Regions from separate parts of the Mus musculus genome. Here region 2 is reported to be linked to region 1. The links are microRNA targets in miRTarBase. Many come from high-throughput screens and were not tested one by one. Region 1 holds a microRNA gene; the other region holds the end of a gene's coding sequence.

Evidence for each region. Region 1 holds the annotated microRNA mmu-miR-708-5p (AAGGAGCUUACAAUCUAGCUGGG, at 2,782-2,804, opposite strand). A microRNA usually pairs through its seed, bases 2 to 8, with sites in the 3' UTR of a target mRNA and lowers its output. Matches are read on the target gene's strand: a 7mer-m8 pairs with bases 2 to 8, a 7mer-A1 pairs with bases 2 to 7 and ends in A, and an 8mer does both.
Region 2: miRTarBase lists Gjc3 as a target of mmu-miR-708-5p. Seed matches in the 3' UTR shown: 7mer-m8 at 734-740 and 7mer-m8 at 713-719.

The regions. Positions count from the first base shown.
Region 1 is chr7:96,248,102-96,252,253 of GRCm38, reverse strand. It overlaps Mir708 (microRNA 708), which reads right to left and starts at 2,830; the gene lies at 2,722-2,830. The region is part of intron 1 of Tenm4 (teneurin transmembrane protein 4); the gene reads right to left.
Region 2 is chr5:137,953,678-137,957,677 of GRCm38, forward strand. Gjc3 (gap junction protein, gamma 3) reads right to left here. Exons shown (of 3, transcript NM_080450.5): 2 at 3,528-4,000; 3 at 196-2,767. The coding sequence ends at 3,535. Among named protein-coding and RNA genes, the nearest start is that of Gjc3, 7.4 kb to the right of the region's middle.

The sequences.
Region 1 (4,152 bases):
AAGATCCTCACCCATCCAGGTGACTCCATGCCACATGGCTACTGGGGAACCGTATAGATGTGCCAACCTTAGGCTCCTTTATACACTTTCCTGAGCTAAGCCATTATCTTCAGTATTTGATGTCCAAAGTTAATTCCTTTCCTGACCAACAGTTGCTGCCACTCATGGACAACAAAGAAGGACATCCTGGTGACCCCAGAGAATGCTAAGGGTCACTAGAGAGTACAAGCAGTTGGCCTCTATAGAAGCTAGGAAGTAAAATATGCTAAGGGCATGTGTCTGGGGTATCACTGGGCTCCTCCCAAGGACCACATTCTTGTCTGTGTCAGGGAGAGCTAGCGGCTAAATGACTAGAAAAACTTGGGCAATTTTATAACTTTTTTTTTTAATTTCCCCTTATAGGATTTGCATATAACCATCAAATCAATCTTAGCTGCTGTCAAGTGGAGTTAGCATGGTGGAGAGTTAGGAAAAAAAATTGTCAAGATTTTAAAAATACTGACTCCGTTCCACCAAGGATGTTTGCTAATGTGATAAACGTAAGCCACAGGCACCCTGCACACCAAACAGAATGGATAGGGAAAGAGGATCTGAGGAGACAGATGGGAGTCAAATCGGGCTCTCTCTACTTGCTTGGATTGAATTACTGAGACTTTAAAGGAGCCATTCAAACTCTGTAAGTTCCTTCCTCTGTCAAGAGTAGGTGATAAAACCTTCCTCCTTGAGGTTGTGAAGATTAATTGGAATTGTGTATAAGAAAGTGCCCAGAAAAGTTCCTGACATGCAACCTGCACTCAATGAGTGGTAATTATTATTATCTCATTAGCCCAAACTCTACCCAAGGCAGTAACCCTTCCTTAAGCAGACAGCAAATGAGAGAACTATCAGGTCACTTCTTGAATAAATATTTGTTGGCTGATTTTGTAATTAGTTGGCTACAGACCCAGAAGACAAACATGCGTGCACACACTCTCCAGAACACAATTCTCTACGCTAGCTGATATTAAATGGTTAAATTCCCACCATGGAGACAGACCATGCACGGGTCCTCACCAGTCCTTGCGATGTGTCCTTAGCTATTTTTTAAAAACCACATAAGACTCCTTTAAATAACACTGCCTAACCATGGAACAAATCCCTTCCAACTTCGGGAGCACTGTGAACCTGGGAGGAGACCTTTGTGTATTCAGGGCAGAGCATATCTAACAAACATTATCTAACAAACATTAGAACAGGGCTACTCTCTCCAAGCATCCCTCTTCCCGACTCCTTCCATCATTTCAAAAGAGATACATGGGCTGGCCTACCTTACTTGTTCCCTGGGCTTTGATTTCACCATCGTAAGCTGGAAAAGTTAAGACTACTTACATCACAGTGCACTTTGAAGATGAAATAAAATGGTCCAAAGTTCAAATACTAGTCTCCCCATCAAGTGCATCCTCAAGCCTCATTTTCCTCATGAGCAAAATGGAGATGATAACCATATTTATATCATAAGGGAAAGGGGACAAGGATGGTGCATGCTGCTGTGTAGCACAGTGCCTGGTACAGAGTAACACAGAATTAAAGTTGGTTACTGTCATTTTTCTCTTATTGTATCTACCCCGACATATATCTTCCCATGAGCCACTGTCATTTGCCACTTTTCAATTTAAGAAATGCACTCAGGTTTGGACTCTGCAGTCCTGAATTTTATGCCTGAGGTTTCAGGTAGGGGGCACGTTACCCAAGATAGATTTAAAAGAGCTGCTAACATGCCAGACCTCACTTTGAATGAGTTTGATAGGCATTTATGAAGTCTTTAATATAGATTAGAACAATTTAAAATATTGATTTAAAAGTCAGTGACTAGCAGACTAAAAATCATAACAAAGGAGTATCCAGAAATAAAGGCAAGTGACTCATAGAAGTCATATATTACAGCCCCTCTTCCTTTAAAGACTAAGCGCTCATTAAGGTGTTACTTGTGTAGGCCTTGTGCTAAGCACTGGGAAATGAACAAATAAGTCAATGGTTCTTCTGCTCTCTAGGAGCTCACATTCTAGGGGGAAGAGATTTATACAAAGAACACAAGTTCCCCTAACAGAGAAAGGCCAAAACAGAGCTTCAGACTCCATGTGGGATATTAAGAAGTAAAAGACACTTTCCAAAGAAGATGACACTTATCTGAAGCACTTTTCAGCCACTTTTATGAGTTAGTTTTGCTGGTTATAAAATTCACACATAGTCATCACAGGACATCGAGAAAGCACATTATCAGAAAATTAAAGCATTAACCATTTTTTTATCACTAGAGACAATAACTGATACATTCCAAGAGCATTTCTCTGTTAATTTTCAACCCACCTATTTAGCCAGTCTATATACAATGAGAAAGATGTTCCAATTTAATCAACATTAAACACAAGCACTTTACATTGAGCTCAGTCCAAAACAATAACTCTGGACCTTTGCTTTGAAGACCAAGCCCAGGAGTTGAAGAGCCAGGGCTGGCCTCAAGAAGTAATTGACATTGAGTTGCACATTGCTGATTCGGTTGCAGCAGTGGTATGGAGCATCCCACCCAGGGATGGAGCCAGGAGACACTGTAGAGCTGGAGTCAGTGCTCAGGAGACAGTTCAGGCCTACAGAGTTCTCAGCAAACAGGCAGTGGTTGGCGCCATGGGGATGGAGGATGTCCCACAGGGAGGGTGTGCAGAGTGAGCAGAGAGATGACTAGGGTAAGGCCCCTGCCCTCTAGAAGCTCACAGTCTAGTTGTGTTCAAGTGCAAGTCATCTACCCCCAGCTAGATTGTAAGCTCCTTGAGGGCAGTCCCCATTTCAAACACAGCTGTCCCTCGGCAACCAAGGGGGATAGGTTTCTGTTAACCCCTGGGGCAGGAGAAGTCAGGCTTGAGGAATTTAGGACCTTAGTATGGAAAAAAAACAGGGTTAGGGGAACGAAGGCACCAACTAACTTCTGAAATCATATTTGTACATTGATATAAAATTGACAATGACAGCATCCTAAAAACATTGAAAATTTGTGACACTTAAAATGATCGACATATAATAACAACATCCACTTTACAAGTCATTTTCATTGGCTATTCATTTCTTTAATAGACTTCTTTTCATAGCGGTAACAAGATGTATATGAAATCATCTTTGTATAACATAACTTCTAAAAGTCATTTCTGTGTGGTTTCCCATGTAACTACTCAATGCATTTTGTTTTATTGTTCTCATCTTTAATTTTGTTTTCTGAGGTGCTGAGGATTGAACCTAGGGTCTCACATGTATTAGGTAAATGTTTAGCCACTGATCTACATTCCTAGCCCGATACTAGATACCTATGGCTTTTATGACTTCAGCCTATTGATGTCTATCTTTTGGTCCCACATGCAATGTAATGTAAGTGTATGTCCACATCTTAACAGGATGACTGCTAAGGTTAGACAGATACCCCTACCACCTTTCCCATCTCATGAACACGTTCTTCCGCTGCTCTGCTGCCCACCTATTTTAGGGCAAGTTTCCTCAAGTCCCATTGGAATAGACAGACTCCTACCTGAGTTTGAATCTTTGCAGCGTCTTAAAGAATGTATAATGGTGGAGTTGTCAATATTACAGCTGAATGTCATTCTTTCGAAGGCTTAACACATTCTTCACATGCTAGCTTTGGGTGAATGCTCAAAGAACCCCTGTTGAACTTAGCAATTTCTGAGCCCAACCTAAAGGGTGTGGGTTATTTTCCCTCTCTCAACTCACTGCTCCAAATGAATATTAAACCTTCACACAGCACAGATACTGAAATATTTGTAGGCACATTTAATTTTCCCGTCTGGCAGGTCATGACAGCAAGAAGCAACTAATAGATGCAATCTATCTGCATTCAAGAAGGCAATTTTGAGTTCCACATGACATGCTGTCAATAGAGTCAAGTGATATGGCCCTTTAGTGAGAGAATTCTCCATCTTTTCCAGCTCATGGACCACCTGGATAAAGCCAAAGACCTGCTAACCATCGGTTCCTAGAGCACATTTTTGACACAAAATTGTCACCTGGGAGGCTAAACGTTGCTGGATAAGACATCAGCATGACAATGTTTTTTCAATGAAATAATCAGGTACACTTATGTAGCACTTTACAGTTTACAAAATATTTCCACAT
Region 2 (4,000 bases), not on the chromosome of region 1:
CTTTTCTCATGTTTTACATCCCAACTGCTGTTTCACCTTCCTCTCTTCCCCCCAATCTCTCCCCAGCATCTTCCCACTCCCCCCAGTCTTACCCCCTCCACATCCCCTGAGAAAAGAGCAGTCCTCCCAGGGACATCAACCAAACACTGTAATGCAAGCTACAATAAGAGCAGGCACATACATCACATCAAGACAAATGCTTATCTTTGCCTTTACTTCTGAGAGTTAGTTCTGCCAATCATGGGCCTCTAGATTAACAGTAAATTTTTCTTTCTTACAATTCAAATACTTTGCTCATTTACATTGTTTCCAATAAGAAAGATAATGTCATTTTGTCTTTTTTTTTCCACTCCATAAGAGATCAGAGTCAAACATAAGTTAAAAGTATAAAATTCTTAGATGGAAACACAAGTGTAAACTCATAGTTTTGAGTCAAACAATGGTCTCTTAAATGTAGCACCAAATTCACAAAAGCCAAAAGAAAAACAAGTAATTAGAGTTCATTAAAATGTAAAATGCATCCAGAGACTACCCCACCCAGGGATCCATCCCATAATCAGCCACCAAACACAGACACCATTGCATATGCCAGCAAGATTTTGCTAAAAGGACCCTGATATAGCTGTCTCTTGTGAGGTTTTACCAGTGCCTGGCAAATACAGAAGTGGACGCTCACAGTCATCTATTGGATGGAACACAGGGTCCCCAATGGAGGAGCTAGAGAAAGTACCCAAGGAGCTGAAGGGATCTGCAACCCTATAGGTGGAACAACAATATGAACTAACCAGTACCGCCATAGCTCCTGTCTCTAGCTGCATATGTAGCAGAAGATGGCCTACTCTGCCATCATTGGGAAGAGAGGTCCCTTGGTTTTGCAAACTTTATATGCCCCAGTACAGGGGAACGCCAGGGCCAAGAAATGGGAGTGGGTGGGTAGGGGAGCGGGGAGCAGGGCGCGGGGGGAGGGTATAGGGGACTTTCTAGATAGCATTTGAAATGCAAATGAAGAAAATACCTAATAAAAAATTGGGGAAAATGCTGGGCGTGGTGGCGCACGCCTTTAATCCCAGCACTCGGGAGGTAGAGGCAGGCAGATTTCTGAGTTCGAGGCCAGCCTGGTCTACAGAGTGAGTTCCAGGACAGCCAGGGCTACACAGAGAAACCCTGTCTCAAAAAAGAATTGGGAAAAAAATGTAAAGTTTTGTACATCAAAAAATATTGCCAACTCTATGCTGGGTAGCCTTCCTAGTCATCAAAACTCTTTCTCATGTATGAATCTGATGAGTTCCAACAACCAGCCTCACAAGACACATGCATGGGTGAAACAGTGGTGTAGCTGGTACAGGAGTAACCAACTGCTTTCTGATTCGATTGAGGATTCACTCCACAAGAGAAACCCCATGCCTGGTACTACAAATCTGGCCAAGAACCCATCCTGCGGAGCTCAAAAGCCCTACAGAAAAGTCACTATTAGTTTGCTAAATTGACATAGTATCAAACTGTCTTCTAAATGATTCTCGAAACTCATAGATTAGGTCAGTTTTCAACACTGACCACAGACTTTTTCTTTTTACAGTGAACAGTGGCCAATATACAGACTTACAATTTGTAAATGCAGAAACAGGTGTCCATGTAATATTCAGTCTCAAATGAGACATCGACAGCACATCCTTGCCCCCCAAAGCTCAAGGGAACATTAGAGAAGATGGAGAAATGGGAAAGAAAAATGTAAAGATCCAGTGCTCTGGGAGATCTGCTATGAAACAACATCTTATGAACACAGCAGGAACTTGCATTCATAAACTCACAGAAGCAGTGGTTGCCTGCACAAGCTCAAGACACTCAGCATTACAGGATGAATGAGAGAAGGACTACCCACAACTGAGGAACTGTTGGCAGTTGATCAATGCTGGCAGAGGAAGACTCCATCTTCTTTGGGTGTGGCATCGAGTAGGTTGACTGTGTTCGGGTAGATAGCTTCACACCAATTCACACTTTGAGTAGCACTGATTTTTGTTCTCAGTGGGTTATAAAGAAAAGAAGAGGACAAGAAATTAGGATAGGGACATGTCAGGAGATCCAAGAGCAGTGATACAGGGATATAGGGTAGACGTGATCAAAACACACTGTATACATGTAGGAAATTATCAAAGAATAAATAATTTTAAAGAAATGCTACTCAGGAAGAAAATGAAGATGACCCATGGAATAGAAGAGAATGTTTTGAAATGAGCCACTTGATAGGTATCTAACAATTATATAGTTTATACAAGGCAAAAATAAATAACCTAATTTAATTGGCAAAAAACTTGGTCTTTTCTACAAAGATATACAAGTGATTAATAAGCATACTGTATGATTCCATCTCTATACAATCCCAGAATAGGATAGATAATCCATTAGAACAGAAAGTAGCCTGTTTTTTGTTTATATTTAGTGGAGAGACAGGAAAGAAAAATTAGAAGTGGCAGCTAATTGATGTAGGAGGTCTTGTTTTGTTTTCTGAGATTTTATTATTTTATTTATTCTTTGTGTGTGTGTGTGTGTGTGTGTGTGTGTGTGTGTGTACTCTTCATGACATGTATGTGGGCAACTTGTGGGAGTTGGTTTTCTCCCTTCTCCGTGTGGGTTCTGGAGATCAATCTCAGATCATGAGGCTTGACTGCAAGCACCTTTACCCCTGTACCATCTCCCCGGCCACCTCACTGGATGTATTGAAGATCAAGTCCCAGAGTTTTCTGCAGGCAATCCAGGCAACTTTACAACTCTGAAAAGTAGAAATTAAGCAGAAGCTGAGGATTTTACCAAATGAAAGAGCAGGCAATACACAAACCAGTGTGCTTATCGGGGTCTACCACAAGGAGTCATGCAACTGATAGGGATAGGTATTGGGAAACGGTTTGGGGGTAGTAATCAAATACATGCCTCAGCCATGAGACTGAGAGCATGGTGGCTCTTGCTTTTAATCTTAGAACTTGAGAGCCAGAGGCAGATGGTTCTCCATGAGTTCAAAGCCAGCCTGATCTACTATAGCAAATTTCACGCCAGTCAGGGCTAGCTGTTTCATATACATATATGAATGCCTTCTCCACCAAGAGAGACTGTACCCTCAAACTGTGAACCAAAGTAAACATTTCATCCCTTAAAAAATACATCTGGGTTCTGGAGAGATGTCCCAGTGGTTAGAGTGCAAAGAAACCAAAGTTTGCTTCCCAGTTCCCACATTGGACAGCTACCTGTAATTCCAGCTCCAAAAGATCTACCACCTTCTCTGGCCTCCACCGGCACCTGAATATTCTCTCTCTCTCTCTCTCTCTCTCTCTCTCTCTCTCACACACACACACACACACACACACACACACACACACAAACACACACACACCAAAGTAAAAGTAGAATGCCTCTGCTTAGAAACTTTGTAACATGGGAACTGTACACCCCAAAGGATGAGGGGCCTACTCTAAGTGGGGACTGCTAACACAGAGAGATCAGAGGCAGGGATAGATGATTGGCAGTAGGGTCCTCACCTGCATCTCAAAATGGCTCTTTTGCCTCCACCACTGACAATTCATCGGTTGTGTCCTTGGATCTTACAGAGCTCTCTGAAGTTGGCAACTTCTTTAAGAAGGAAAGTTTGTGCTTGTATATCCTCCAAAACCTCCCTAAACCCAAAAGCGCAAGCTCCAAGAAAATAAATAAGAAACAGGCCCCGCTGATCCCAAACATGATGTTGAGGAAGATGGTCTTCTCAGAGGGGTGAGACTGGAAACAGGTTGTGCTGCCAATACAAGGATCCTCACGACATATAAAAGTGCTGGACATCTTGAAACCATACAGATTGTACTGAACACCTAGAGCTGCTCCCTCAAGGGCCAGCCGTACCCCAAGGTGTGCCACATAGGCCCAGAGAAGCTTGAGGCTTTTAGCCCCTGAGACATCCTTGCTATGATCCCCTTTGCTAATCTGGGTCTCTTGCTCCTTGTTTTCCTTTCCTGGTACC